Linked DNA regions of Struthio camelus. The protein of the gene in region 4 interacts with the protein of the main gene of each other region in a biochemical or structural test. Links are inferred from orthologs where the notes say so. Each region holds a gene or a part of one and is shown on either strand. Other genes may lie near its edges. The genes, in order: DTX2, ELF2, FOS and RUNX1.

Region 1 (7,002 bases), on a different chromosome or scaffold from region 4:
CAGGCCGCCACGGGCCTCCACAGGCCGCCACAGGCTGCCATGGGCCGCCACAGCAGGCCATCATGGGCCTCCACAGGCCACGACAGGCCGCCGCGGGCCACGTAGCCTGCCGCCGGCGGAGAGGGCCCTGGCCCCGCGGGCCCGAGGGGGCTGCGTCGCCGGCAGGGCGCTGGGCTCCGTGGCGGTCGGCCGCCTTCCGGCCACGCACCGGGGCAGCAGGGCAGCGGCGCACGCCACTGCCGGGCCTGCTGCCGCGCCCCCGCGCCTGCCTCGTCCCCAGCCGCCTCGCTCGCACCCCGCGCTTGTCTCCGGCCCTCCAGCCCTCTGCGTGCACGCACGCACACGCAGGCATGTGCGCGCACACACACACACACACACACACACGTGCACACATGCACGCTCACACATGTGCACACACATGCTCACACCCATGTGCACACACACGCATGCACATGCACACATGCATGCACACACGTGCACACAGACGTGCACACATATGCACACACATGCATGCACGCACACACAGACGTGCATACACACACACACACATGCACGCACACATGTGCACACACACGCATGCACACACACAGACGTGCACACAGACGTGCACACACACTCACACGCATGCACACCCACCCGCACGCACACCCACCCACACATACACGCGCATATGTGCACACACACACACACACACACACACACAGACGTGCACACACACACACACAGACGTGCACACACGCACACACATGCACACACACACACGGATGCACACGCACACACATGCATGCACACACCGACCACACACAAACACACACCCCCCACCCGCGCCCCTCCCCCCGCACTACATCTCCCAGGCGGCCGCGCGCGGCGCATGCGCGCTGCCGCCCCGCCGCTGTCGGCCGGGAAGTGGCTGCCCCGCGAGCAACCGCCGCCGCCGCCGCCGGGAGTCACGGTGAGGGGCTCGGCCGGCCCGGGCCTGCGGGGGGGGCGGGGGCGGGGGCGGCTGCGCGCCGGGGATCAGCCCAGCTCCGCTCCGCTCCGCTCCGCTCCGCTCCGCTCGGCCGGGCCGGGGCGGCGGTGGGGTCCGGCGCCTTGCCGGCTCCGGGGTCGGTGCCGGGGCGGTCGGGGCCGGGGCCTGGCGCGGCGGCAGTGCCGGAGCGAGCCCGGGCACGGCCGGGGGCGGCGGGTCGTTAAGGCGTTTGGGTGCCGGCCGGGCCGCAGCCCCCGGGCCACCCCTGCTCCTGGCCGAGCCGCCGCGGGCCGGGCCGGCGCCCGTGGCGGGGGAGCCGCTCCAGGTCTGTCGGCCGCGGCGCCCCAGCGGGGCCTCGAACCGGCGCCGTTCGCCGCCGGGCGGCCCGGCCGGGTGCGGGCCCGGCCGCGCTGCGGCCGAGACGCCGGTTTGCTTTTCGCGGCGTGCGGTGGCTGCGCTGGGGCTGCCCTCGGCGCGGGGGCCCTTTGGGAGGAAGAGCGCGCTGCTGCGAAACCAGCTCTTCTGCTCCTGGCTCTGAGAGGGCTCGGAGAAACCTCTGCAGACCTGTCCTTATCACATTGGGAAAGGAAGGGAAAGAAAGGGGCTTGCCGCAGACTTCAGCCTCCCGTGACCGAGTCTTGACTGTGCTAGGACTGCTTTTAAACCCTGGCTTAATCATGTAGTTGCTCCGTGACTCAGTTGCCTAACAAGCAGAAGGTTTGGATTACTTTAAACAGGCTTCCTTTTGTCTACCTGGACAGTAGACGACAGCCTTTTTGCTGGAGAGCTGGGTTTGAGTACCAGCCTTGGACAGTGAGGGTCTGGGGTGAATTACAAACCTAAACAGCAGAAGCGAACGTTGATGAGATGTAGTGCTGCCAAACTCCTCTGCACCTCTGGTTCTGCAAGGCGTTCTCCACTGCTGGGTGGGCAAAGTCCTCCTGCCAGTCCTGCAGAGCCGTTTCAACTTGCTATCCCAACAGAAAGCTATCTGCGTTTTCCCCTGGTTTCGTTTTCTGCTGGGTTAGTGATTTGATTATTCCTGCAGAGGGATCTGACAGGCAGCAGAGCTCATACAAAGTGCATAGCAGGAGCAGGCAGCTGGGAGTGGGGTCTCCGTCTTTTGGAAGCTCTGGGCTCTCAGGGCAGCTCCTCTCTGTCTCGAGGAATCATCCCATAGTGCTCTTGAAAGTCTGCTGCCTTAGCTTTATTGTGCTTAATGAATTGTGCTATGGTTATACGGCCTAGAGAGCAAGGACATAGTTCTCCTTGCATCAAACTCTAAGTTCCTTCTTTGCTTCCAGCCCATGGTCTCTCATGTTTGTGTGGGTGTTCGTTACTGCCTGGACAACTCCTGATTTACCTCCGAAGCTGAGGGTAGGTCTGCAAAAGGATCTTGGAAATAGCAAATTGTCTGTGGGTAACTGTAAGTGCTTTCTGGTGTTTAAACAAGGAGATAGTATATTTAAGCAAGGAAGTGGTAAGAGTTTGTTGATGTAAATCTGTTTGTGCCGTGTGGTGTTTTATTTAAATCTTCTAAGGTCATCTTTAACTTCTAATGGGTGTGTTATGTGGCAAAGTGGCAGGACTGGCTGTGAATTGAATGAATCACCAGCTCCCATTGGCAGGGACTTGACTTTTGACTTCTCATATAGTATTTTGGAATCCAGCTGCATGGTCCAGTAGGGAACTTCTCTAAATGACATGGGTGCTGGTCTGTTGAGAGAATTGGCTTCCTGAGACTGGGTAGGAGATTTTCTTTCTACCTGCAAAAAGAAAATAAATAAATAAAAGCTTTCTTGTTACTAGCTGAAGCTTTGGCGAAAATGGAGAAGCCCTCCAGATTTTGCCAGGTTTGCACTCCCATGAGTAAATAATCTCCCTCCAAGTCGATAATCTTCTATTTCAGTGCCCTGGAAGGACCCTGGAGCAAGTGAGCAGGATGCTGGGTTTGGTTTGATGCCAGGCAACTGTTCTTATATTCAAGTGTACCTACCCTGTTCCCTTTGCCTCAGCATTCCTATTCATTTGTGCCTGAAATAAGTGCTCTGCCTAGTTGATAGGCAAATGCTTTGTTCTGCTCCAGTTACACTCTTTATTTCCTCCTCCAAAGGGAATTTTCTTGAAATTTGTTTTGAATGGAGGGAATCCAGGTTTTGGGTGGACAGGTTTTATTTCTTCTGTTCTTTTGGCTGCCAACCCAGCCACCTTGTGCTGTGATTACCAGCGAAGGCTACAAGAAAGCAGGACTGTGTCTAGGTCTGACCCCGACTGCGACCTCCCCTCTACCATTTTGCTCTATCCTTCCCCATCTTCTGGGTCGCTGCTAGCTGTTGTGCTACTCGGCGCTGGACATGTGTGTACGGAAAGGAGTGCTTAGGATAGCCAAAGCGACAGAAGTCAGGTGACTGGAAACAATTAAATGGCTTCCCCAAGATGGCAGAGCTGGGGAAAGGACTGGCCTCTCCTGATCTTTGCTTGGTTAAACGGTTCCCATTTCTCCCTGTGGACACCGTTGTGGCCTGATGGTGTCACCTGCTCATCTTCCTGAGTTCCTGGTCAGGACAGAGTGTCTTTTTGCAAAATATTCCCCAGCGCAGGTGGAAACTGGGGGCTTGAAGCAGCAATTACAGCCTCTTTTGCCAGCAATCAGACCACAGATGGCTGGAGAGCAAAGTCTCTGAGCAGCAGTGAGCTTAGCTGGGCAGTCTTGCTCTGTGGGTGGAGTCAGGCTGTGTCCCATTGGGCCCAGATGGCCCAGGAGCAATGAAGGGTTTGGGATTTGTGAGTTGAGGCCCCGTTTTCATTTGCAGTATGTTCCCCTCAGTTATCCAGCAGGAGCTTCATCCCTTGCAGAGAGCCTGCAGAGGACCTGTTGCATGAGTATATTTGCAGCTCCTGTTGCGCTGGGTCCAGACCGGGGGGGGGGGATTAGATGTCACGGGGTGCTGCAAGGGGGCTAGCTGCTCTTCCATTTGGCATTGCAGTGGCACAGGGCATATCAAATACTGTTCCAGTGAGGCACCCCCTCTGCCGAGGGTCCCTGCCTTATTACAGTCTCACTGCTTTCTTCTATTTTACATACGCTTTTAATCAGTGTATAATCTTTTTCCAGCAGTTATCTATAAGGGCTTGTCTGTAACTCTTCCAGTGCCACCTCTCGTATGCTGTTAGTGGCACTAACAAGTCTCTCCTGGGCACCCTTGTGTCTGAACAACGTGCCGAAACATCTCCGTGTTCTGAAGACTCTCATTCTGGTGATTTTTGAACAGAGCCTGCAACCCCAGCCAAGCCCAAGGACTCCTGAGGCCTTCTCTCTTGCACTTGTGGTACAAACTAGCTCACCATGTAACTTCTTGTTAGCACTGGCAATTTCAGGTCAGAAACTTAAAAAGGGATGTGGGGTTTTTAGAAACCATTTTTGACTTTTAAGACCTTACTTTCAAAGGAAAAGAAAATTCAATTTTATGGTAAGTAGAACAGGTCTGAGAATTAAATGTCTTTCAAATGTTTTAATTCCCCTCGTTCCTGCCTGTCCCTCCCCAGCTTTCTCCCCATGTTTTGCTGGAGCTCGAGGAGCAGGAGGCGAATCTGCTGGGAAACACAACTGAAATGCACCAAATTCTTTAACTTGTCCAAGTCCCCAGTTAAATAAAGCCTTGTGGGCAGATATTACGACAGGTGTGCTGGGGCATAGAGATCAAACCAAACAAATCCAAATTCAGGATGTGAGCCGAAGTTAAAAATCACCTCCAAAGTGGAGGACAGTTGGCTGGACTGTTTTAAGTATCCACTTCAAGTAGCAGGGGGTTTGTTTTCATTTGGGGCAAGGTGGCCCACTAGGATTTCTAATTGGAGCCAGGATTATTTGCTGAATAAACATAGCTCTTTGGGGTAGGTTTGACTTTCAGGTTCTTTTTAAAATTAAAGGTGAAGGGTTAGTCTGAGGGATTTTAACAAAGACATGTAGCTACTCTCTCAGTGGTTGCAAATCTCCCCAGAACAGAGCCAGCGTAAAGGAGCTGGTGCAGCAGGCAAGCAGGGTCAGGAGAGAGCTGCGTTGGCATGCTGTAGATGGTAATGCTGAATTGCTGCTGCTAGCATCCCAAACACTATGCCAGCAAAGTGGGTGTAGGATATATAACGCATCCAAAGCCACAGCCATATCCATAAAGCTGTGTTAGCAACCCACCCCAAACCTCTCTGTATGCCTGTGTAATGTGCACAGCAGCCCAAGGGGGTAGACGAGCAGCTTTCATATTGAATTTCTCAGCTTTTAATGTTTGTGTGTCACTGAATTCATGAAAGGGGGAAGGAACTGCAACTTGTGTCTTTTTCCCCCCTTCTGTGCCTTAACTCGGATACTCTTGTAATTTTGGCATACTGAAGTTCTCTCCTGTGACTGATGGTGTGCGTTCCTTGCTTCCCAATCCTTGCAAACAGCTGCCAGCTAGAGCACTATTCAGTGACAAGAAGAGGCTGAAATACACTCCTTACTCCTTGGGACCTGCATTCCCAGTGCAGGAAATAGCTCTCCTTACTGATGGGGAGTGAATGTCAGAGCACACCATGCTCGCATGCAGCCAGTCGGGTACCTTTGCTTGTGTGTGGGAGCGGGTTGGTGCGTGTGGTCCAGAATTCAAAGCGTCGCTGCCTTCCGAGGAAGTGAATAATAGACCTTTGTTACCTCTCTGGTCTCAGCCAGTCTTGGCCAGTGTTGCAGTGAGTGCAAGGTGGTATGTAAACGAGGTGGCGCTCGGTGTTTTTCTGCTGTGATTCCTTCTTTTTTCCATTTCCTGCCACTATATTTTAAAAAGGAAGGAAAACAAACTGCTGACTCCCTTCAAAAATCCTCCTACTGGTCGCCTGCTCTGCTGGTGGCTGAAGATCTGCAGATCAGTGTTTGTTAAAGAAGACTTTGGGGAAAAAAAGGTGTCTGTTCTCTAATTGGGGTTCAGAGCATCTAATGAGTGTGTACAGCCCCATACTGGGGAGGACAGAAACTCATACTTGTTCAAGCAGAGCGTGGAAATGCTGACGGTCTCTGAGGAGTAATAGTGTTGGCGTGAAACCTGCCATGAAAAGAAGCAGCAGAGGTAGGTGTCAAGTTTGATACCAGAGGTTTGTGTGAAGTAATTTACTGTTTTGAACAGGAAAATAACCATCCCTGGTACATTAGGTGGAGAATGAGTTACAGCAAAAAATGATTTTTGTGACCAGAGCCTTCTGCTGTTGGTAATCTAAAGCGGTTTGTTGCCAACAGCAGTCAAGCTGGGGATGTTCTGTAAAAATCTCATAGAGCAGCTCATAACTAATTTTCATTGAATTCCTGGAGAAAGTGTTGGTTTCTTCTTATAAATGCAGACACGTGGGTGTGTCTTTGCTCCTTTTTTTTTCCTTTTTTAAGCTAGTGAACCATGCAAGAGTGATGGATGGGACGCTCCAAGCAGCTTGGGATCTTCCCCCATCCGGTAGGAGTGTAATTCTCCATGCAGATGGCATCCTCCAGTGGATACCACCCACTAGTTATCTGCATCTTGGGGACCTAAACCTTTCTATTTGACAAAAAGGAGGCTCATAGCTCCCTGTTGGCTGGTAGTAAAGTGAGCACTCGGCATCGTGAGACCTTAGGAGGGAGAAAGTGATTTTATTTTAGAATAAAATTGGCTTTGCTCATTCACGCTCATGCTGTCATATCCACCTGCACACAAGCACCAATGTGGGTTTCTCCAAGGGGTCTGTGCAGCATTCAGGCACCAAGATGCACGTGTCCAGGTGGTCTGGACAGGATTCCTTGCAGTGACACAGCAGACAAGGGATGCCAGCTATTAAGTCCTCCAGATGTCTCTTGGACTCTTAGTTTGACTGTCATGTGCTGGCTTTGTGTCTGCCTTTTTATATACTTTGGGAGCTAACGGTAACTGTGATCTTTTGTCTCTGCATCCTGTCACTCTTCTGTGAGTCATCAGGATTTACTCACTAGCCTTTGTCTTTTTATCTGGGTGTCTTAAGGCTCCTATTCTCTATTCTTC
Region 2 (7,001 bases), on a different chromosome or scaffold from region 4:
ATTCATGCCATGTATAGATCTTCCCTTGTCATCTTCCTCTCTGCAGTCCCAGCTGTAGCCCCTGTGGTCCCTGTGACCCTTTTGCTACTGCACCACGAGGCCTTCCTCATGTCCTCCAGTCCCATAGTGCCACCAGTTTTCCACTACGCTCCTACCCCTGCCCCCAAAAACCACAAATACCTTCATTTTTTGCAGGGGGAGGATAGGAGTTGGTTAGCTAAGAAACAGCATTGCTGTGGCTGGTACAGAGAGCTATGTGCATGACTAGATGTCAGGTGGCTGCTGTGGGTTGGAGTTAAAATAGCTGCTTTCTCTGGTGGGCGCACTGGTTAGGGCTCTCTCCTCTGCTCACATACTTGCTTTCCTGAAAGTTAGACGAACTTCATATTGCTGATATCTCTACCCTGTTATAAAATGGAGCTGAAATTAGAAAATAATTTCAAAGGGAAAAGAATGACAGAGACGGATGGAGGCACAGATAGCTAGGTCTCATGAAGCTTGTTTCCTTAGGCTAAAATGTGGCTTACTTTAGTAATACTGGAGAGCAAAAATGGGATGCTTTTCTACAACTGTTTAAGAATGTTATGGAGTCTATCGAAAGTTCAGATAAAAAACCCCAAACTGTGAAAACAAAGAACCATTTCCATTTTCATTTTAGAAATGATCAATACATTTTATTGTTGCTAGATTGCATCATTATTGCTCTATCTCCAGAGTTTTCAGGAAATAGTCTGTATGTCCTGTAAGTCTATCCTAAAAAGAGGAAAAACTATTTACACCTGTAGAATTACTGCTACTTCATTAATAATGATTTACAGAATGGACTGACTGACAGAAGGGTCGTGGGACCTTAACTCCCTTATTTTTTTTCTAGGTCATTTCTGGGTCATTTCTTCTGGGTCATACTTCTGGGTCTGAATCAGTATAATTTTCCCCTTTCATCTGAATGATCAAGGGTAGTAGGCTCAGCATATAGAATTAGATAGGCGACAATCTTTTGAGGACCAGTGTTTAAAAAGCAATGTGGACCACAGCTTTCTATATGCAAAGGGGGCAGAGCAGCATCTGTTGAACTACTGACCCCATGTTATTGCACAGCAGTATCCCAGCAGTAGCAGTTTTGAATTGACTGCAGATCTACCTCAGGAGTGGGGAAAAAGGACCAACCTTTTTTTTTTAGGATAGCTGCATCATTTATAAAACTTCAAAAATTATTCAGTTGAATTGATGCAAACCCTTTAGCGGTCTTTCTTTTTTTCTTTTTAAATAAATATTTTTCAGCTTAGCTTTCTAAGTAACTTAAACCAAAAAGAGGTGTTCTTAAGAGGAATACAGCTTTCCATATGAACAGTTAGTCTATTTTTTTTTCAAATGCCACTGTAATTATCTCAAATCTCTGCAGATAAGCACAGGTCTCTGCAGTTAGAGAGCACTCAGTGAGGTGCTGCTCACGGCCTCAGCTCAGCTCATTAGAAGACAAGGTGAGAAATGGAAGTCATGTAAAGAAATTAGATTAGGGGAAGCAGAAACCTCTTTACCTCAGCATCCAAGCTGAGTGTGGAGTGAAAGTGAGTAAAACAGAGGACGGACTGTGCCAGACGGTGAGAGAACAAACACCAGCATTACAGAAGATCACTTAAATGGCCACCTCTGGAGCACTTGCAAGCTGTGGGACCAGCCCAGTGACTCCATGAAGGAGCTACAGAGAAGGTTTGGTTTATGTGGGCTTTTGTTTGGTTGACAGTGGGCCTATGTTTTGAAAGGAGAAGGTGTCTGCTGCTGTTCTTCATGAAGAAGATCATAGCAAGAGGTTTTCTTTTTCTGAATATTAACGTGGACCCAAGCAAAGAAAAAAAACTGAAAGAGTGAATGCCACAAGTCAAAACTAGTTAAGCACCAGAGACGAAGCTGAGAGCAGTTAATTCCGTCAGGCTGCAGAACTGTATCAATGGCTCAGATTCCCACCCAGCTACTCTTTGTTCCAGTCTATAGTAAGGCAATTTCTGTCAGTCACACTCTAACCTTTTCCTCCCTATATAGTACCATGTTCTCAAATCATGCTTTCTTTTGCTGTAAATAGGCTTCATTTATTTTGCATTTTCAGCTACCATCTCTGATCTAACTCCAAGGCCTATAATAGGTGGACTTCCATCATCCACTCTCTACGGGATTTTAATTTTACATCCTTGTTGACACAGTTTGCATGCTTATCTTTCAAAACATTAAAAGGTCATGTACAAGCAATACTTATATACAAACAACACTGCAATGTACCAGCATTGGAAAGCATTCTATAATTTTTAGCAGCAATCTGGATTCCAATTAACAAATGTTAAGCTTTTTTCCACATAGTGTTTGATACTTCCTTTTAAAGATAGATAAAAGATCTGGAAGTGATATCTCTTATCTTTTAAAGAGCAGACAGATAAGCCAAATTGATATCGCTGAATGTATTCTTAGGAAATCCTGTAACTAGCGACATCCAAGTATACGCCATATTAAAAATCTAGTGGGCTTAGTGTGTGGTAAAACCTTAATTTTGTGAAGACAACATATACGCTATAAAGCGACTGCTAAGTTTATGCCTTGGTAGTGACCACTTATGTAAGAGACTGTGTTACAGATGGTGCCGCTAGCCCCATTTATTATTAACATTGCCTGACACAGTCTGGAAGGGAAGCATCTCTAGTGTTTCCACGCTGCAGGGCACTGACTTGATATTCGTAGGGCTGCCTTTATTGTCAGGGAAATGTTTGTGTCATCCCCAGGGAAAACAGCTGCCCCAGAAGATGGGTTATTTGTACATAGCCTGTAAAAGGAGGTCATGTTCTAAGGCCTAAAGACACCTGAAAGATCTTATTTCCTTAGGAAAGGAAGCTGCTGCCCCAAAGACGCACAGGAAAGAAACATCCTGTTCAAACACTTCATGAATGGTAGCCAGACCTGTTAGACTAACGGTTGGTAATATGCCCAAGGCAGAAACCGAGGACCGGAAGTTAGACTTGGTGGAGATGAGCAGGACTGTCAAGGGAGTGTTAGACCCGGTGGAAACTGAGATGAGGCAGAAGTGTGGTTTTGCACACCGCCGAAGGTGATGGGCACGTGCGGGTGACAGCGCGATGTGTGTGTCGCTGAGGAGCCCTGTGAGAAAGGGAGCGTGTCAGAGCTTCGCCATGCGCAGGCACAAGGGGGCCTGATTGTTTGTGCAGGACACGGTCGGTCCAGCGCTCCTTAGTGATGAGCAAGTGCCTTCGCAATGTGAAGAGTCTTCCCACCACTGTGTTTTCTGTCTGTAACGAAAATGTTGTGCCTCCTGTTCTGCTAAGGCTCTTCTGTTTATTACTGCGCCATGGAAAGAAGGGTATTTGTAACGCTTAAAGCCCTGTATGTGTAAAAGAGGGCACCGATTCTACCCTAAACCTCTCAGATAAGAGTAGATCGAGACAGTTACTCTTGGCAGGTACTTATTTGCGAGCAGACTCCGACAGTAACACATACTTCACTGCGAGGTGACAGGAGACGTCCCCGCAGCGGAGCCCCACAGGCCTTGTCGGGAGGTGGGGGAGGGTGTTTTCCCTCCCCCCCCAACCTCATTCCCCACATACAGCCAACTGACTTTTTTCAGCTCTTAGGAATGCTGCACGCGGCAACTAATACGAAGACCCGACGCACCTTATCACGAGGAAAGGGATGAGGGAGCTCAACGAGGGTGCCCGCACAGCACAGCTCCCCCCCCAACCCTGGCAGCCCCCAACGGTTGCCCCCAACGGTTGCCCCCAACGGTTGCCCCCAACGGTTGCCCCCAACCGCCCTCCTCCCCTCCCACCCTCCCGCGCGCGAAGCAACGGCTTCCCCCGCGCGCACGCGCCAGGCGGCCGCGCATGCCCACAGCGCCCCCGCGCGCCCGGCGGCGCGAGCATGTGCAGAGGCGGCGCAGCGCGGGGAGGGGGGGGGCGGGCAGGTTGCGCCGCGCACCCGCCCCTCCCGCCGCGGGGCGGCCCTGCCTCTGCCCGGGCGGCGCCCCCCGCCGCCGCCGCCGCCTCCTGCTGCGGGGCCGGGGCCGGGGCCGGCACGGGGGCACGGTAAGGGCGCGGCGGCCCGCGCGGGGGCTGACAGGCGGGCGGGGGGCGCGGCGGCGGCAGCAGCCCCGTCCCACACTTTCGGTTTCGTGCGCGGCGCCGGGCGGCGGCCGTTGGGCTCCCCCCCCCCCCCCCCCCCCCCGCCGGCGCTCCGTGGCCGCGGCGTCGGCGGGCGGCTCCCGGCCGCTGTCAGTGTAAACACGGCCCCGCGGCCTGCCGGGCTGAGCCGAGCCGGGCCGCGCCGGGGCCGGGCAGCGGCTTGTTTACGCGGGGCGAAGATGGCAGCGCGGCGCGGTGGTGCGCGGTGTCACGCGTGCCCGCCCCGCGCTGGCGGCGGGTGAGCGGGTCGGCGCCGGGCCGGGCCGGGCCGGGCCTGCCGCCGCCGTCCTGCCGCCCGGTGCCTGGGCTTTATTTCTGTGCCCGGCTGCGTGTCCTGACGTTACTGCCCGCGCCGCTCTCGCAGCGCCCTTGGTAAATAACTCGGGAATCTGGCGTGTTTTTAATCCTGCCGCTGTGAAGTATTGTACTTTGGTAATTCTGGTGTTTGTGTCTTGTCTGCTGCCTTTTGGTAGATGATCTCTGTCGCTCTTCTTTTTTTTTTTTTTTTTTCTGTTTCTCTCCTCAGTTAAATGATTCAGGTTTTCGTTCTGCTTATTCCCTCCTTTACGGCTAGTCACTGCCAGGTTCCCTGTGACTTTTTTTTTTTTAGCCGTTTAATTTATTTGCAAAGACTGTTAAAGCTCACCTGCTATCGATTTAAAAACAGCAGTTTGTGAGGAGCCTTTCATATCTGCTGAGTTCGCCTCTCATTGTGCTCTAAAGTTGTCTTTACTCTCTATGTATGGATAATTATTCCCCTCTGCTGCAATTTAGTCATAAACCTGTTTGGTACTTTCTGAATAATGTATGTGCATCAAACTTTGAGAGCTTCCCAATTAGTCAAGACAAATGCTATGAAATGAAGGTAAGGGTAGGTGTAAGAGTATAAGCGTTAGAGAGTTCTCAAGACTCGTAAAAACAATATTCTAACAAAATTGCAGCAATTTTGGACCACTTTACATAAATATCTGTTACCAAAATAAGTTGAAAACTCCCCTGTTCATTATTTCTCATTCCAAACAAGAAGTCATTTATTCTGTTGAGTAATACAGTCACAGAGCCAGATCTTTCTCTTCTGTTACCACAAAAATTAACTTCATTTCAAGGATCTTAAATTAAATAGAAAACTATGAATCTGGGTATAATGGGTCTGATTCAAGGTCCACTTCCTCCCTCTTCCCCTGCTCCATCTCTGATAGTGGGCAGTGCCAGTTGCTTTCGGAAAGACTTGGGGAACAGGATGTGTACGTTGCATGATACCTCCATTAGCGTACTCTTTCCATCTCGGATTTCAATAATATCTGGTTCAGAAAGTCCCTAAACTTCAGCCTGTGTATATGCATCTTTGTGTTTAATAGTCGTTGAAGCTATCGAGGAGCTTTACCTTCATTAAGTTTTCTAATTTAAATCTTCCAAGTTATGCTGCTAAGTTCAAAAAAAAAAATCCTATGACATGAGTTGCATAGTTTGATTGTGTGCTTCTTCCTTTTGTTTGTTTTTAAACCAGCATCCTCACCATTTTATTTCATCTGCCTCTGGCTCTTTTATTATGTAAAACGATGAATAATTGCTCCCTGCTCTGGCTTGTGGGGGAGTGGAAATGGATGTTAAGGACCAACAGTTGACGTAGTGGGAGGGGCTGTGCTGGTAAGAAGTAGGGGGGTGCTTGTGAGACTTCTCTCAGAGGGAAGACAACGTTTCAGGGAATCTTTACATAGAGAGCCCTGGGAACAGTAGGATGAGATATGGGGAGATCCAGAAGAATGCCACTGAAACCGTGAAGCTTCTTGCAAAAAGTTAATAGTTCTTAAGTGATTACAAGCTTGTGTGTTTTGGGGCTTACCCGCTTTAGCTACTTGAGATTTCAGAGCCAACTTTGGATGTTTGGGTTATCTAATTAAATGTGTGGAAGGAGTTCCTGCAGTTTTCTCTGAGGTTTCTGTTAGTATTGTTGTCTAGTTACTGGACTGGATACATCGTTAGTTTGATCCAATGTAATAATTCCTGTGCATTCAGTAGTACAGTTATTGTCTTGTTATATGGAAACTGCTGGTGTCTGAAGTATGTCCTGGCTAGGACTACTTACCTTGACCGTTCCAAATTTTGATTTCTTTCCCTGTAACATGTAGTGATTCGTATAATTTGAAGTGTTATAAATTGCATGGATTATCTGTCTTGTTTTTCTGAACTTGGAGATACAAATATTTTCTTTATATCACCTTTCTGAGCAGACCCAGTGATTCTTGGGCTGTCTATGAGTTTAAATCTTTTTGCTCCAAGTCAATTCTTGCAGTAAGGTAATTTTTCAGTTTGTAGACTTGTTCCAACTTTCACAAAACTAAATTGGTACTTATAAAAAGGTAAATGAAATTTGCTTCTGCAAAATGCCAGTGTGAATCAGTGTGAAGTATTTTGGGGGAAAATGCCTTATGAAAGAACTTTCAGTGGGTGTAAAATTGTTTTTACAAAGCATGCTGTAGTTTACACGCATCAGAGTGATAGTGATGTATATACTGGTATACTTAAGGTGCTGCCTGTGAAAGAGGACCTTTGCACCCTTAGGAAATCTTTTTACAGTTAATGGGATTCTGCAGTGATCTTGGTGGTGTATTTCTGCATCTGTCACCAATTTTATTCTTAAGTTGACCTTGTTAACTTTTTTGTTAAACTGAAGGAAGTTTAACTTTTTCGTTAAACTGCTACCTTGAAAAAAGTTGTATAGGATGCTACTGCTGGTTGCAGTCCTGCTCTTGCAGTTGCATTTATGTAGGTATCCACGTAAATCCGTCCCCAGAGTTTTGGATGCCAACTGTATAAAAGGGG
Region 3 (7,309 bases), on a different chromosome or scaffold from region 4:
CCTGCAGCCCAGCTTGGCGTTGGCTGCCTGCCCTGCGGGGAAGAGCAGCTCGCGCGGAGGGGGCCAGCGGGACGGCCCAGCCGCCGCCGCCCCCAGAAAGCGCCGGTGAGGTTCGTGGGTGCGATGGAAAGCCCAGGCTGACTCCTGCTTGTGTCGGATTTTGTTGCGCGCTCCTCGGGGGGTTCCAGCGAGGGAAGCGCCGCTGCACTCGCCTCCTTTGGATCTTGCTCCATTAGCTGAAGAAGACCTCTGTCAGTCTGTCTGTCATGGGGCTTGAACGTGCTGCCTCTCACCGTAGCGTGCGAGCTTGCTTCCTCGCCCTGCTTCATTTCTGAGGTTTTACCTCTAAATACTGAGCAGTTCTACAAACACGTGGGCCACCTTGTTTCGCGTAGTTTCCTCTCCTCTCGCGGCTGACCGATGGTGCCCTAGGAGGATAGATGATAGCACGCGCAGCGCCCTGGGGTGGGCTCGTCACCTTAGAGGCGCAGGGAGAGAAGAGGCCAGCTTGGCTCCAGCAGTAAAAAGGGACTGTGCCGGCAGCAGGAGCGTTGCCTGGAGGACACTGTGCTTGCGCTGCTCTGGGTTATAAAACGTCACTTTGGGGTCGCTGCTGCTAGAGGTGAGGGTCCCAAGGCCAGCCCGGCCCATGGGTCAGGGGCGTACAGGACGTGCCGCGATGGGCGAAGCCGCCTTTGAGACTTGCCGTGTCTGTGCGAAGCGCGGTGTTGTGAGCGTATGGAGGCAGGTCCGGCCGGGCGGGAGGTGGCATCATCCAGCACGGTGCAGGCAAGAGCCAGAGGCAGCGCGGTGACAACGGGTGGGAGGCGCTGGCAGCATCATTGGTGGTAATTGGCAGCTGGTGGCATGTGGCTGCGCGACCACGAGATGCCAGGATGTCTCCGCTCGCCGTGTTTGTTCTTTAGGATGTCCCTGTCACACACCCAGCTGCTGTGATTATTAATTACTATTTATACTTGGCTATAGGTAGGCTCTGCACTTTAAAGAGCCATGAAGGTGGGAAGGCTGCCCTCCCGGGAGCTCCCAGGCGAGGTGGCGTTCGTAGGAAAGCCACAGCTCAGCCCCCGGATGACGTGACGGGGCCCTTCTCCAGCGCCTGCTCCTCTGCCACAGCAAGGCAGGGGGCACCCCCCCCCCACTGCTTTACCAGCCCCCTTTCCTACTGCTCCCTGCTGCTCGCTCCAGAGCCCCGCGGTCCCTGCCCCGCTCTGCAAGCCTCCGCGGGGCCAGGCAGGCGGAGGGGCCCCGTCACGCTGTGCCGGGAGAGTGTGCGGCGCAGGACACGGCGAACAGCGTGCGCCTGTGCGAGGGGAATTGCACTAGTGCCCCTGCTGCCTGCGAGGTCTGCGCCGCCGCGGGGAGCTGCGCCGGCTTCTCAGCACAGAGGAGCATTTGAGAGCAAGGAATTATTTGTTAGTGCCCAGGGCCATGTCCCTGTGCCCCCCCCCCCCCCCCCCCCGCCGGTGGCTCCGCCGCGGGCCCCTCGGCACTGCCGACCCCCCAGCAGCAGCCCCAGGTTTGGCAAGAGGCACATGTTTGTCGCGGCGCGCGCCCGGAAAGTGAAACGTGGAAGCGCTCGGTGCGGTTAGCTGTGGTGAGAGGATCCATGTGAGCTGTTGCCCGGCTGCCGGCGGGCCGCGCTGCTGCCGTGAACTTTCCCCTGGTGAGCGGCCGGACGGAGGCACAGCCCTATCCTGACCCGGGAGTTGGCGGTGGCTGCGCGGCTCGCGCTGCAGTGGCCGTGGCCTCTCCGTCCCGCCGGGCACGTGGGAACGGCGGGCCTTTCCAGGCAGCAGCCGGCAGCCCTGCCTGCGCAGGGGGCTCTGCGCGGGCGGGGGATCCCGCGCCCCGGGGGCGGGGGGGGGTCCCAGCCCGGCAGCGGCGCGTCGGGCCGAGCCCCGGCCGAGTGCCGGGGGCCTGGCAAAGCCCTGCCGACCCTGCTCGTGCGAGTTTAGCAGCACTGCGGTACTCAGCGGGCTCATGGTACTTGTGTGCTGCTGTTGCGAGCGGGCCAAAGGACGGCTCGTTCCCCGCTGGCGGAGCCAGGCAAAGTGCCTCTGTCAGGCTGCGGCACGGGAGCAAGGGCAACCCCGTCACCCGGGCAGGAGGGTTGCGCTCTGACTGTGTTTTGTCCCTGCGGTACTGCTCACTTCCTCCTTTTCTTTTCACAGACAGTGTGGTAAAACCGTGTGCGCCCCGCGTTTGGAGCAAACAACAAACCCACGTCATGTGTTTTTGGTTTCTCTGTTTCCTTGCCTCCGTCGGCACATGCTGGAGATGCGCAGCGTCTGTGCACTTTCCGTTTGGTGCAAACAGAGCGCGCTGGGTCGCCAGCGGAGACGGCAACAGACGGCTTGCATCGGCACCACCAAAATATTTTGGGCTCTTGGCAAAGCGGGTCCTCCCCCTGGTTTCCAGAAGTTTCTTTTGCGGGTGCGATTTGGCAGGGGGAACCCCGGGGCTGCCTGCAGGCGGGAGCAGGGCTCAGCAAGCAGTCCCCAACGCGTGGCTGGGAAATGTTTGGGGCCTTGAACTGTGCTGCAGGCTTTTCTCCAGCCCGAGCCACCCTCCTGGGCCCTGCGGGGACGCGGCCGTGGTGGCCGGCGGGCAGGGACGGCCAGGCCGGGGCTTTGCGAGTTCACCGGCGAGGACGGACCCCTTTGCCGGCAGCGCGGGGCCGAGGCTGGCCGGAGAGTGCAGCCCTGGGCGCCGCGCCGGGCTGGGGCCAGCCGCTGGGCTGGAGCAGGACCAGCCCCTGGGCTGGCGCAGAGGTGGCGAGAAGCCCATGGGCCGTTGCTGGCGAGCGGAGCGGGCCGTGCGCCGCGGCAGTCCTTGGCTGTCCCCTCCGCTCTGACGGGCAGCGCAGAAATAGCAGCTGGCCCAGTTCTCCCGCCCCCGTGGCCCAGATCTCTAAGAACGGAGGTTGCTCGCGCAGCAACAGCGGCGGCGGCAGCAGCAGCAGCAGCAGCAGGCGCTGCATTTAGCCCATGAGCTCAAAGAGCGGGAGAGGCTGCCAGCAGGATCCCAGCCTGGCTGGGTGACGCTCCTGCTTGGAGACTGCGCTGCAGGCTCTGTTTGTTGCTGTAAACATGCTTGCTGCTGCAGCTTCCCTGTTACTATCTATAGCCGCGATCTCTTGGCGCCCGTGCAAGGCGAGTCTGCGGTCTGGCTCCCAGCTTTGCCTGACCTGAGCCAGGGCTGCCTGACATCCCCGTCGTGGGTGGGTGTCTCCGGGCTTCGCTGCAACCGGGATCAAAACAAAACCCAAACTAGGGGAAAGGACAAGCCTCACCCATTGCTCCTTGCTGGTGGTTTCCTGGTGGCCCCCTGCCCACCCGCTGGGGGTACAGCGGCATCCCGGCACCCCCGGGCGCTGCTCCCGAGCTCTCCCAGCCCTCCTGGGGGCCGTGTCTTGCCCTGCAGCCCCGCAGGCTCCCCTGGCAAGGCTTCCCAGCGCCCTGTGTCATTATCCTCCTTCTCGGCTCTTTCTCTGCATATATAATAGAAAAGTAAATAATGCCACATGAGTGTAACATTTTCCTCGCTGCAGGAAATGGAGTAGGTTAGATTTTCCACATGGACAGCCTGTAATATTCCAGCGCCGGGCTACAGACAGAAATCGCTCGATGCCAGCGCCGGGATTTATTTGCAATAAAAAAAGTAGACGTGTGTTCCTCGGAGGAGTACTGCCGCTCCGGCTGCCCGGCCCGGCCCGGCCCTGCGCCCCGAGCCCTTGCGTGCCGCCGAGCCCGCTGTGCGGGCGCCTCTAGCCGAGCGGGAGCGCGGGGGGCGCGCGGTCCGGCGGGGACCCGACCCGACCCGTCCCGTCCCGTCCAGTCCAGTCCCGCGGGGCGCGCCGCCCGCCGCCGCCGCCGCCGCCGCCGCACTTGGCTGCAGCCTGGAGCGGTTCCCGTCAGTCACACCCCCTTGCACAGGATGTATCCCATATAAGGATATCTGCGTCAGTGGGTTCCCGAGCTTGGCGGTACCACGCCGCGCGGGAGGTACCACGCGGCACGCGCGCGGGGGGGTGGCCCCGCCGCCGGTCCGCCCCTCCCCCCGCCGCGCCGCTCGGCGGCCGCCCGCCCCCCCCCGGGCCGTTGGGCGCGGCCCCCCCGCGGGAGGTGGTGGGGGCGGAGCGGGCGGACCGGCCCCGGGGCGGGGCGGGGCGGCGCGGGGCCGGCGGCCCCCCCCGCGGGCGCGGGTGGTGCGTCCCCAGTGACGTCGGCCTTTTTCACACGGCGGGAGGGTATAAAAGGGGCGGCGCGGCGCGGTACTCCAGGGCAGAGCGAGCCGAGTGGCGGAGCAGGAGCCGGAGCGACGCGGTGGCGGCACGGACAGGCGCAGCCGGCCTTCCCGATCTCCTTCCCTCTTTCCTTCCCGCCTGAGGACACTCCGCTCCCACGGCCCCGGGTGTGCACCCTTCGAGCCGAGCCGATATGATGTACCAGGGCTTCACCGGTGACTACGAGGCACCTTCCTCCCGCTGCAGCAGCGCTTCTCCGGCCGGGGACAGCCTCACCTACTACCCGTCGCCGGCGGACTCCTTCTCCAGCATGGGCTCGCCTGTCAACCCGCAGGTGAGGGCCGGGGCGGCGGGGGGGAGGAGGAGTGGGACACCCCGGCGGGGGGGGGGGGGGGACGCGGGCCGGGACCGGGACCGGGCGGCGTGACGGCGGCGGGCTGCCCCCGGGCCGGGGCCGCATGGGGCGGCGGCGGGGTGGCCCCCGCGGCGGGGCGGGCGGGGAGCCGTGGCCCGGGCTGCGCTCTGCAGCGGGTGCGTAAAGCGGCTTCATTGATAAAACGCGAGTTCATTGAGGAGACTCCGGAGCGGCGTCTGCGTCAGCGCGGACGTCAGAGATATTTATAACAGCTCCTTTTCATGTGGAGCCGGGTGATGGCAGCGCGGCGCCGCGGCCGGCGCGGCCCCGGCGGCTGCGGGAGGCGGCCCGGGGCGCTGCCGCCCGCCCCGCTCACCGCCCCCCTCTCCCCCCCGCCCCGCAGGACTTCTGCGCCGACCTGGCGGTGTCCAGCGCCAGCTTCGTGCCCACGGTGACGGCCATCTCCACCAGCCCCGACCTGCAGTGGCTGGTGCAGCCCACCCTCGTCTCCTCGGTGGCCCCCTCGCAGAGCCGCGGCCACCCCTACGGCGTCGCGGCGCCCGCCGGCGCCTACTCCCGGCCCGCCGCGCTCAAGGCGCCGGGAGCCCGCGGGCAGAGCCTCGGCCGCAGGGGCAAAGTGGAGCAGGTGAGCGGGGGGTCGGGCCGGGTCGGGGGGGGGGGCCGGGGCTCGGGCCGCGGGGCTGCCCCTGCCGGGGCACGGGGTTGGCAGCGCGACTCAGCGGCCTCTCTCTGCCTGCAGCTGTCCCCGGAGGAGGAGGAGAAGAGGAGGATCCGCCGGGAAAGGAACAAGATGGCAGCGGCCAAGTGCCGCAACCGGCGGCGGGAGCTCACGGACACGCTGCAGGCGGTAAGTGTGGCCCGGTCGGGGGGGCAGGGGGGTCCCGGCCTGGCCGGGGGTGGTCGGGGCACCAGGCTGGCCCTGGCTGACAGCCCGCTCTCTCTGCAGGAGACCGACCAGCTGGAGGAGGAGAAATCCACGCTGCAGGCAGAGATAGCCAACCTGCTGAAGGAGAAGGAGAAGCTGGAGTTCATCCTGGCAGCCCACCGACCTGCCTGCAAGATGCCCGAGGAGCTGCGCTTCTCCGAGGAGCTGGCAGCCGCTGCCGCGCTGGACTTGGGTGCCCCCAGTCCCCCTGCCACCGAGGAGGCAGCCTTTACCCTGCCGCTGCTGGCTGAGGCCCTGCCGGCTGCACCACCGAAGGAGACCAGCGGAGGTGGGCTGGAGCTCAAGGCTGAGCCCTTCGATGAGCTGCTCTTTGCCACAGGGCCACGGGAGGCCTCCCGCTCGGTGCCTGACATGGACCTGCCTGGGGCCTCCTCCTTCTATGCGTCAGACTGGGAGCCGCTGGGTGCTGGGACCAGTGGGGAGCTGGAGCCCCTCTGCACCCCCGTGGTGACCTGCACCCCCTGCCCCAGCACCTACACCTCCACCTTTGTCTTCACCTACCCCGAGGCGGACACCTTCCCCAGCTGCGCTGCCGCACACCGGAAGGGCAGCAGCAGCAATGAGCCTTCGTCCGACTCTCTCAGCTCCCCCACCCTGCTGGCCTTGTGAGTGGCCTAAGGCCCCTGTACTGACTGACCTGCCGGGCCCCCTCCCCTGCCCGTGCGCCCCCATGGACTTGCCGCTGTGCCCCACGGGTCCCCAGGCCCGGGGAGGGCCCCACCACCGCTGCCCCCTCTGTCTGGCCTGGCACCCTGGGGCCTGGCAGAGCGCCCTGTGCTGAGGCCTCGTACCTCTTCCAGAGATGTAGCAAATCGCATGGAATTTGTCTTGTCCCCAATGGCCCACCCATGAGAGCTGGTAGTCTGTAGCATGTCCCACATGGCTGGGTTGGTGACTCCCTCCCCTCCTTAGTATCACTAGCATTAACTAATTAATCTCTTGGTTTTAAATTATTGGGATTTAACCTGGTGCTGGGTATCTCCAACTCGTATCTAGTGCAGCTGATTAACAATAACTGTGTTCCTGGCAATATCGTGTTCTGATGACTTAGCAATGACCCATCTTCTGTGGGGGGGGGGGGGAAGAGACTCTATTTTATTTTCTAGTAGGTAGATAAATAGCTATATCCATGTACTGTAGTTCTACATTGATGTTCATTGTAACTTTACTGATCATGCATTGTTGAGGTGGTCTGAATGTTCTGACATAAGTTTTCCATGAAAACGTTTTTATTGTGTTTTTAATTTATTTATTAAGATGGATTATCAGATATTTATATTTTTATTTTATTTTTTTCTACCTTGAGGTCTTTTTTGACATGTGGAAAGTGAATTTGAATGAGACTTAAGCATTGTTTGCTTATTATTGTTCAGAGACATTGTCAATAAAAGCATTTAAGTTGAATGCTGGAGGTGTCCTTGCATTGCCTTCTTGCATCACTTCCTTGTGACCCCCAGAAGTGGTTCCCTTCTCTGTAACGTGGGCTGGGATTCATGAGCTGCAGCCTGGTGCTAGCTGTCTGAGGCATGGGGTGCTCCAGGGGCAAGGGTGGGAATGCCCTTAAGGACAAGTCTGCCCCCTGTCAGAGGGCTGGGGCACTTGGGATGGGTGCCAGGGTGATCTCCTCTTCTATGACCTTACCCATCCCCCCTCTCCCTCTGGGGATGCCTGTCCTTGGCCTGCTGTCCTTTCTCTGCCCTTGTACCTCTGCATTTCACCT
Region 4 (7,352 bases):
GCTACTGCCTTGGAGACTACTGACAAGCTGCTGCAATGGTGGATGCTGGTGTGTGGGGGCAGCTGACATGCAACTGTGTCCCTGAGTGTTGCTTTTAGCGGGAAGTCAGCACACAGATTCCCAAGTTGCAGTTTTGTGTTTTTCGAAAAGTAACCATTTCAACAGCTCTCTGTCTGCATTTAAAGGAGACAATAATGGAAGAAGGGCTCCTGTCAAAAAAATGAATAAACATGCTTTTGATAGCTTTCAAATGTCTGGTAGGCAGCTCCAAAATAAATGAAATTTTAGCTGTTGTTCCAAATGTCTCACAAGGTTCAGTTTCACTGGAGAACGCATCCAGCTTCAGCGTGGTGAAAGTGCACATAAATATTATGCCCAGCCAAAAAGGCACCGACATTGGAATTTTCCCGGTAGCCATGTATATTTGTCAGTGAAATCCACCCTTGGTCACAAGTTTGGCAATCTCCTCCGAGACACAGGCGAATGTCCACCACATCCAGCTTCCAGAAAAACAACCTGTTTCAGAAGGGGGTTGCTAAACACTCTGCAAAGAGGATGTAGTGCTTCAAAGCTAGCTAGAGATGGTGTTGCGTGTCAAAAACAGGACGTGTGCTCTATCCTGTTTCATTCTTACTTGCCTCTTTTTTTTTTATCTGTCTTATGCTTTTCAAAATATGTCAGTCATTTAGCTCAGTTCAGAGAATCCTAAAAATACTTTTCTTCATAGAGTGGAGCTCTCTGTGCTTATTGGGTAATTTTTCTGCACAGTCGTTAAAAAGATTGGCAGAGGTTGGATCTTAAGATCAGAAAGGAACGTTAGCTTATCAAGCACGGCTTTTTGTGTAGCATAGCTCGTAGAATCCAGTTATTCCCAAAGGGAGCCCAGACTGTTATATTTGTCAAATATAAGTTTATCAAAGCAGTGTAAGGTTCATAAAGAGATCGGGGATGTATTTCACAGTGTTCCTGTCTTGCCTATTCAATGAAGTACAAGGTTTTAATGTTAGCATGACGTTGGTTTGAACAGATGTCCTCCAGTGTATGTGGGGATGCTAACAGTATATAAGAAGATAAAATGCTGCATAACTTTGGAGAAACTACTTCTGCTAACAGACCTATCTTAATGTTAAAATTTTGGAAAACTATATTGCTAATCTCTTTTTTAGTCTGAAAACAGGATCCATTCATCCATTTTCACTTTTTATACCACCTGCTAATGGTATGCCATCAGATGGCTCAGTGTTCCCACCTACTTCAATTTTATTTCAGACTTACATTTACTTTTACTTTACAAAACAGATTGTGGAGCTCCCCGAGGGCTAATCTCAAAGTCTGTGCAACGCCTCAGCTTATTGAAATGTGGTCAGCAAAAAAAAAAAGTATCAGTCCTGATTTCCAGATGATCTGAACACTGGCAACTCTACTGAAAGCCTATGAGAGTTGCAAATGTTTAGCACCTTCAGGAATGTAGGTTTCGATTTTTAAGTGAATGACTTACCGTAAAGTATATCTTCCTTAAATAAGTATTGGGTCAGAAATTACCACTAGAGTAATGTTTGCTGTGTGTATGTAGGAATTAGGAATACCTTTTTCCCTGGCTCTTATAACCTCCTCTCTTGTCCCCTACCACCTCTAGACTAACACTGAATATAGCATATAGCTGAAAAGTAGCTGATGGGATAGTCAGTGCAGTTGATGCAATAAAAACATAGCTGGGGTTTCATTTATGCGTTCATTAAGCTGCCTTTGCATTTGTTGAATGCACAGACCATGAGTAAAAAGCTGCAAGAACTGGTAGCTTTTTCCTAGAATACCAAAACGATGAAATTGAATTAAATAGAAAAGAAAGTCTTTAACAATCTCCTCAATTTCCTGTATCGTCTGATCCAACTAAGGTATTATATTAGGGAAGGAAAATACAAAACTTAGATCCATCCCAGGTCTTTAGCTGAGTTTTCCCTGGAAATCCATGTTCTCTGATGTCAACATATATGTATCTTGCATAGCCCCATCATTTCTTATCTTTATGTAAATGTGCGCAAGATGCCTGCACGCTGATAGATGGGCAACAAGCAATAGGAAAAGGAAGGTGAAAACTGATAAAAATACATGAAAGAGTCAAGGACTAAAGGTCCGCACATTTCAAAAGCTCAAACCTAATGCTATATGGAGAGATGGAAAGAAGGAACCTTCTTCTATATAGTTAGCATCTGAAGATAGCAGCTAGCAGGGGGTGCTTTATCTAGCCTGTAACAGGGGGGTTATTGCATCTCTGCCGAACCACTGTCGGCAAAGCCCAGGAAACATCTTGCTGTGCAGTTGATGAAACATTTGCCTGAGGTCTCTCACAGTACTCCTGTGGCAGTTGAATAATGTCATAACCCAGGATTGTGTAACAGCCGCTAGAGTGGTAGAGATTGTGCTGTTTCACTTCACATCACAGGGTTTTTTCTTCTTTTTTTTTGTCCTCTTTCCATTATTTTCCTCAGGATATGGAGAATGTTTTTTTGTGCAGGTCTCTCTCCTCTTTCTTTATGCAGGCAGTGTTAAGACAAGGTTCAAAAGAAAGAAAAACAAAGTACCACTTCATGTTCTTCCATTCAGTATAAGAACAACAGACAAAGCCCCTTACAGTTTCTGGATTAAGCTTCCCCAGCTGTAAATTTTAATTTGCTGTCTCTTTTATACCAGCTGTGTTGCAAGATTCTGTGAGATCCACAGGAATTAGAACCTGCTCTCATGGACTTACGACTTTGGGCCGTTCCTGCAGCATAAGCGTAATTTTCCTAATAGGCATGTTATACGTGTTGAAGTGTTTGTAGGGCCTATAGATTTGTGGCCATATGTTGACAAGTGAGATATTAGCCTTTTTATTGAATATAATACATAAAACTCTACTTGAAATGTGAAATTTGGTCAGCAGCAAATCCCTAGTAAATCTCATAGCCTTTTGTTTCCACATATATTCCCTGATTTCATTAGAAACATCCCATCCTGCAGTCGAGGAAACACATAACCCATCACGTGAGCAAGCTATACATTTAGGCAACATTTCTTTTTGCCTACCTAGATGCAACTGCCACCACCTATTTTTATTTCCTCTCCTCGTTGTCTATGACCATCTCTCCATTTTCTAGGAGAAGAAATGGAGTACAGGATATGTTTGGTATCCTAGCCAACGTTCCCTTCCTTAAATGAAAAAATAGAGGAGGAGAGAGTTGCTATGTGAGCCACTAAGCACGCAGAGTTTTTATGCTACTGTGGTGTAAGAGATGCTTTGCATTGCATGCTAAGTTCTGGTTGTCCTCCAGCTTTCTTTTGCGCTGTTTCAGTGACGGCAGTAACTGGAATACACTTTGGGGTCTGGTTTAAGGCATTGAAAATCTCTCTATCCATCTATCCATGCATTCCTCCCTCCGTCTGCATATCCATCTTTCTCTTCGTGAGTACTTTATGAAATTGCTGAATTTCACACCTGGTGACAAGTGTGACAGGCTCTTACAGGGTATATATCAACTGGTATGCTTATAGGAAGGATTTTTTCCTATTAAACTTTAGAGAGGTGAGGTGTACATCACTATCTGCTGAAAAAATTTCAAGCTTTGCAGATACCAACTCATATATTTTCACTTCCTGATTTATCACAATATAGCAGCCAACTCCTGTTACCATTACGCATACAAATACCCATCCCAGGGACTTCAGTGGAATTATTCCCATGTTCAGGGGTAGAAAAGGTTGAACCTAAGCTATCCAATGTATTTACGGGAAAAAAAAAATCTCTTCGTAATCAAGGGCATTCTTATGGTATAACTGTCTGGTGCTAGTGATTATAAAACCCTTTGGGCAGGGGACGTCTGTAGAAAGAATCATTATCAGTGCCATTACTCTGTTCACTAGTAGTAGACCTTTGTACCTTTGAAAAAATGCATCAGCTGAAACAATAGGAGACCAGGCGTCCAAACAATCTCAACCTGGTTCCTAACAGCAAAACTCTGAATTTCGAATCTTCATCCAATTCCACTCTAACTAGGCAGAGAAAAATCATTTGAGAAGCTAAATGAAAATTACTAGCCTATAAATGCCTGAGGCAAAAAGAAAAAAAGAGAGAGAGAGAGAAGAAAGGGAGGGAGAGGGAGAGAAAGATGGGGGAAGTCTCATGTGAGTTTGGTTAGTGAAAAAAAAAACACGTACTAAGTATGGCTGCATGTCATTTTTCAATTTGCTCATGTTAAATAATGATCTCTAGGGCAGAGAAAGAGTGGAGTGAAAAGGAAGAGCTCTCCCCTCACCTTGTTTAGTTTCTGCTGGTCTTTTGCAGTGTGTGGCCACTGCCTGGCTATCATATAAACCTAAACATGAACCACGGGCAGTTTGGTATGTCTTCTCCACTATCCTGGACCATGTACCTGATGAGGAAAAACAGAGCAGCCACTGGTTTCTTTGGTAAAGACTTATTTATCTTCCTTTTCAACAGTTTTTCTTTTCATTGCAATGAAATGGAAATTTTGATTGTAAAATAGTAGGAAGTGTTTGGTGAAAAAGATCTTAAAAGCAGTATAATTTCTGCTGGAGCAAAAATTAGGAAATCCATCACTGTGTGCATGTGTGTGTTTTAACTTTCACTAGACAGTTAAATACGTATGGAAGTTTTCACTAGACTGTTAAACATGTTGCAACTATTTTTAACTGAATTAATTTCTTCAGAGGAAATGCTTCAAAATAGTTTTCATTTCAAATGCTTGGGATGGGGGTGCCACTAAGTCGGGGGGGTGGGGGGGGAATTCTACTGCTGTATGTGAGGGGCAGAAGATGACGCCTGCCAGACAACACTCGCAGTTCAATGTTTTGCAACCTTATTAGAGCAAAGTGATCTCAAAGAACCAGCTAGTGTAAACAAACGATGTTAATTGACTTGAGCTCAAGTCAGAGGGTTATCATCAGTAGTGATGCTCTTTTAGACAAATTAAAGGTTTGGCCTATATACTTGGTGTTTTTTTAATGTCTCAAAAATGACAATGGAAAAAAAAAATCTCATCAGAGCTTCAAAAATAGCTTTTTATCACAAGGATCTTCTGGATAAAATACTATGAACTTCCATAAAGCATTGACAAGTTGTATAGACTCTGCCAGTGCCCATTTTGCTGTGATTCTGTTGAGAACGGGACCGCCTAGTCCATCATCATCTCGCACAAGCAATTTGACAGACAGAAACACATTATACCTCTTTTAAATATTTGACATACTTCCAGATTTGTTTCCTTTTCCACAATCGTAGGGCTAGCTCCGTTCTTGGTTGCACTTCTTTTGCTAAATATGTATTGAACTAAATTGATCTCCGAGTGCAAAAGGGTTGCATAGTTGGGTTTTAATTATTGTTATTGTTCTGGCTAAAAAAGTTCTAATAAAGAGGGAAGGTCAGATTGAAAGTTAGGAATTATGAAAGGAAGTTCTACTATTGTTCATTCAAACTTGAAGATTCCTTCTCTTTCCCTTTCCCCACTTTATGTTTTAGTAAGTCTGTATGGTCCTTACTTCAGGGGGTTGCTGCTAACAGTTACTGCAGTATAGTTTCAGCTTACAGTTGGACAAGGGGACAAATTTTGTTCTGATTTATAGTCCATAAACCCCCTGAAATCTGAATTCCACTGATTCTAATTTGGTGTCGAATTTGGGCTGGTATTTTTCCTTTCTGTCAGCTGCGTGGATTAACATTTGGTTCTGTTACAGAGCATTTTTGAAGGTGGTATTTAATCATTTTGTAAAATATCTAAGTGCTAGATAAAGCCCAACACTGACGACTTGCTATCTGAGCATTAAGTCATAATGTGCAGCCTGTGACTATAAAACGATAAGCCATATGCCATCCCGCTGCGAGAGCTGTAGCCTTTCGTTCGTTTGTTTCCGCAAAGCTTCACACACGTTGAAAGGCTTGAAAAAGCCTGCGATGCAGCTGGATGATTTATGAGACTTTTCAGAAACAGCCAAAACAGTGAGACATTATTCTACCAACCTGTCCATGGTATTATGACCTGTGCCTCAAATAAATCTTGATATCTGAGGAATACATTCTACTTTGTAAAGTACTGGCATTCTTGGTGGTTATCTTTTTTGCAGAATCCAAGAAATGCGTATCTTAATCCAAGATCATGGAACATGAAGCAAATTACAGAGTGAGGGGAGGAATATGTTTAGGAGGCAGCATTATAAGCTGTGGTTGGTGTTTGTGCATGCTATAATGACTATATAGAGAGAAAGCTCTAATGAAATGGTCAAGTAAGAAACATTTGCTACATTTAGATTCTATTTTTAACAGATGCACAAAATCCTTGTTCTCTAGAACACCAAAGAAAACTCCCTTTGATACCATAGATAAACAGAATTATATATGGATATCATGATAGATGCTGTGTAGAGTATAAACCACATGAGCAACTACCTTTTTTAATATTGTGCTGTGTAGGTTTCGTTTAGCGGTGATAATTCCTGCCCTGTATACTTTGTACAATTTACATCTAAAAATCACGCAAGAATGGTCTGTATTGGCTAAGAAAGGCTTGAACATATTGCTACGTATGTCTGTTACCTAACAAAGGTAAAGCTAAAGTAGTTACAATCCCTAATTTCATCGTTGTGCAAATGATGAGGAAAAGCAGATTAAAATATTTTGTTGTCTTTAAAATAAACTTGCTAATTTATAGACAGCCTATTGTGCCACTGGTGTCATGTACAACATCTGTAAATGGAAAGCAGTAGAGGGATACGTTCTTAAGCTAATCTTGTTAAGCTTTGTTCACTCTGTAGCACATTTCCTTTTAAACGATGCACAGTTGCTACTGTAATTGGTTTTTAAGGAGCCTTTCATTATGACTTGCTGCCTTGGAAAGAAAATGTTCCGCTCTTAAGTATTCTATAAGCTTAGGGTATATTTCAGGGCAAGACCCTAAAGTTAGAAGTCTGGAATTACAGTTTTTCTTCTCACTTATGCTGACACAAATAGAGAACTTGCAGCTAGAATTTGGTAAGCAGAGAAGTGGGCCCACAGAGGGCTTTATAGCTCAGGTTTTGCTAAGCCCTGTGAGATTGCTATCCCTGTGCATGACCCTTCCAGGAAACTGGAGGACAGCTCTGCTGTGGCCTGGGCCCCACGTTGCCCAGGGACAGGAGGCAGCAGCGAGAGAAAAGGGCAAAACTGGGCAGGTTTACTCTCCGGCATGCAGAGGGGACCTGATTCACCATCGCATTGCCATGTCTCCTGCTGTTTGGAGGACCAGCCTCTACCTGGAGTGCCAAGGCACCCCTGCCTGCCCTGCTGGGCGGCCACTGCACATTTCTCAGCACCTCACTGGGGT

Evidence for each region.
Region 1: the proteins of RUNX1 (region 4) and DTX2 form a complex in vitro, tested with the Homo sapiens proteins (2 studies listed by BioGRID, with this or other methods). The link is inferred for Struthio camelus from reciprocal best matches to the Homo sapiens genes RUNX1 and DTX2.
Region 2: the proteins of RUNX1 (region 4) and ELF2 form a complex in vitro, tested with the Homo sapiens proteins (2 studies listed by BioGRID and IntAct). The link is inferred for Struthio camelus from reciprocal best matches to the Homo sapiens genes RUNX1 and ELF2.
Region 3: the proteins of RUNX1 (region 4) and FOS form a complex in vitro, tested with the Homo sapiens proteins (2 studies listed by BioGRID). The link is inferred for Struthio camelus from reciprocal best matches to the Homo sapiens genes RUNX1 and FOS.

What each region holds. Positions count from the first base shown.
Region 1 is NC_090957.1:14,471,745-14,478,746, reverse strand, and holds the start of DTX2 (probable E3 ubiquitin-protein ligase DTX2), read left to right. Parts: upstream 1-3,992; 5' UTR 3,993-6,047; coding exon 6,048-6,066; intron 6,067-7,002. UniProt on the Homo sapiens protein: Regulator of Notch signaling, a signaling pathway involved in cell-cell communications that regulates a broad spectrum of cell-fate determinations.
Region 2 is NC_090945.1:32,451,430-32,458,430, reverse strand, and holds the start of ELF2 (ETS-related transcription factor Elf-2), read left to right. Parts: upstream 1-3,993; 5' UTR 3,994-4,082; intron 4,083-4,312; exon of another isoform or gene 4,313-4,550; intron 4,551-7,001. UniProt on the Homo sapiens protein: Isoform 1 transcriptionally activates the LYN and BLK promoters and acts synergistically with RUNX1 to transactivate the BLK promoter. Isoform 2 may function in repression of RUNX1-mediated transactivation.
Region 3 is NC_090946.1:57,949,403-57,956,711, forward strand, and holds FOS (protein c-Fos), read left to right. Parts: upstream 1-4,300; 5' UTR 4,301-4,460; coding exon 4,461-4,601; intron 4,602-5,025; coding exon 5,026-5,268; intron 5,269-5,382; coding exon 5,383-5,490; intron 5,491-5,589; coding exon 5,590-6,198; 3' UTR 6,199-6,993; downstream 6,994-7,309. UniProt on the Homo sapiens protein: Nuclear phosphoprotein which forms a tight but non-covalently linked complex with the JUN/AP-1 transcription factor. In the heterodimer, FOS and JUN/AP-1 basic regions each seems to interact with symmetrical DNA half sites.
Region 4 is NC_090942.1:121,272,971-121,280,322, reverse strand, and holds the start of RUNX1 (runt-related transcription factor 1), read left to right. Parts: upstream 1-4,343; 5' UTR 4,344-4,358; coding exon 4,359-4,446; intron 4,447-7,352.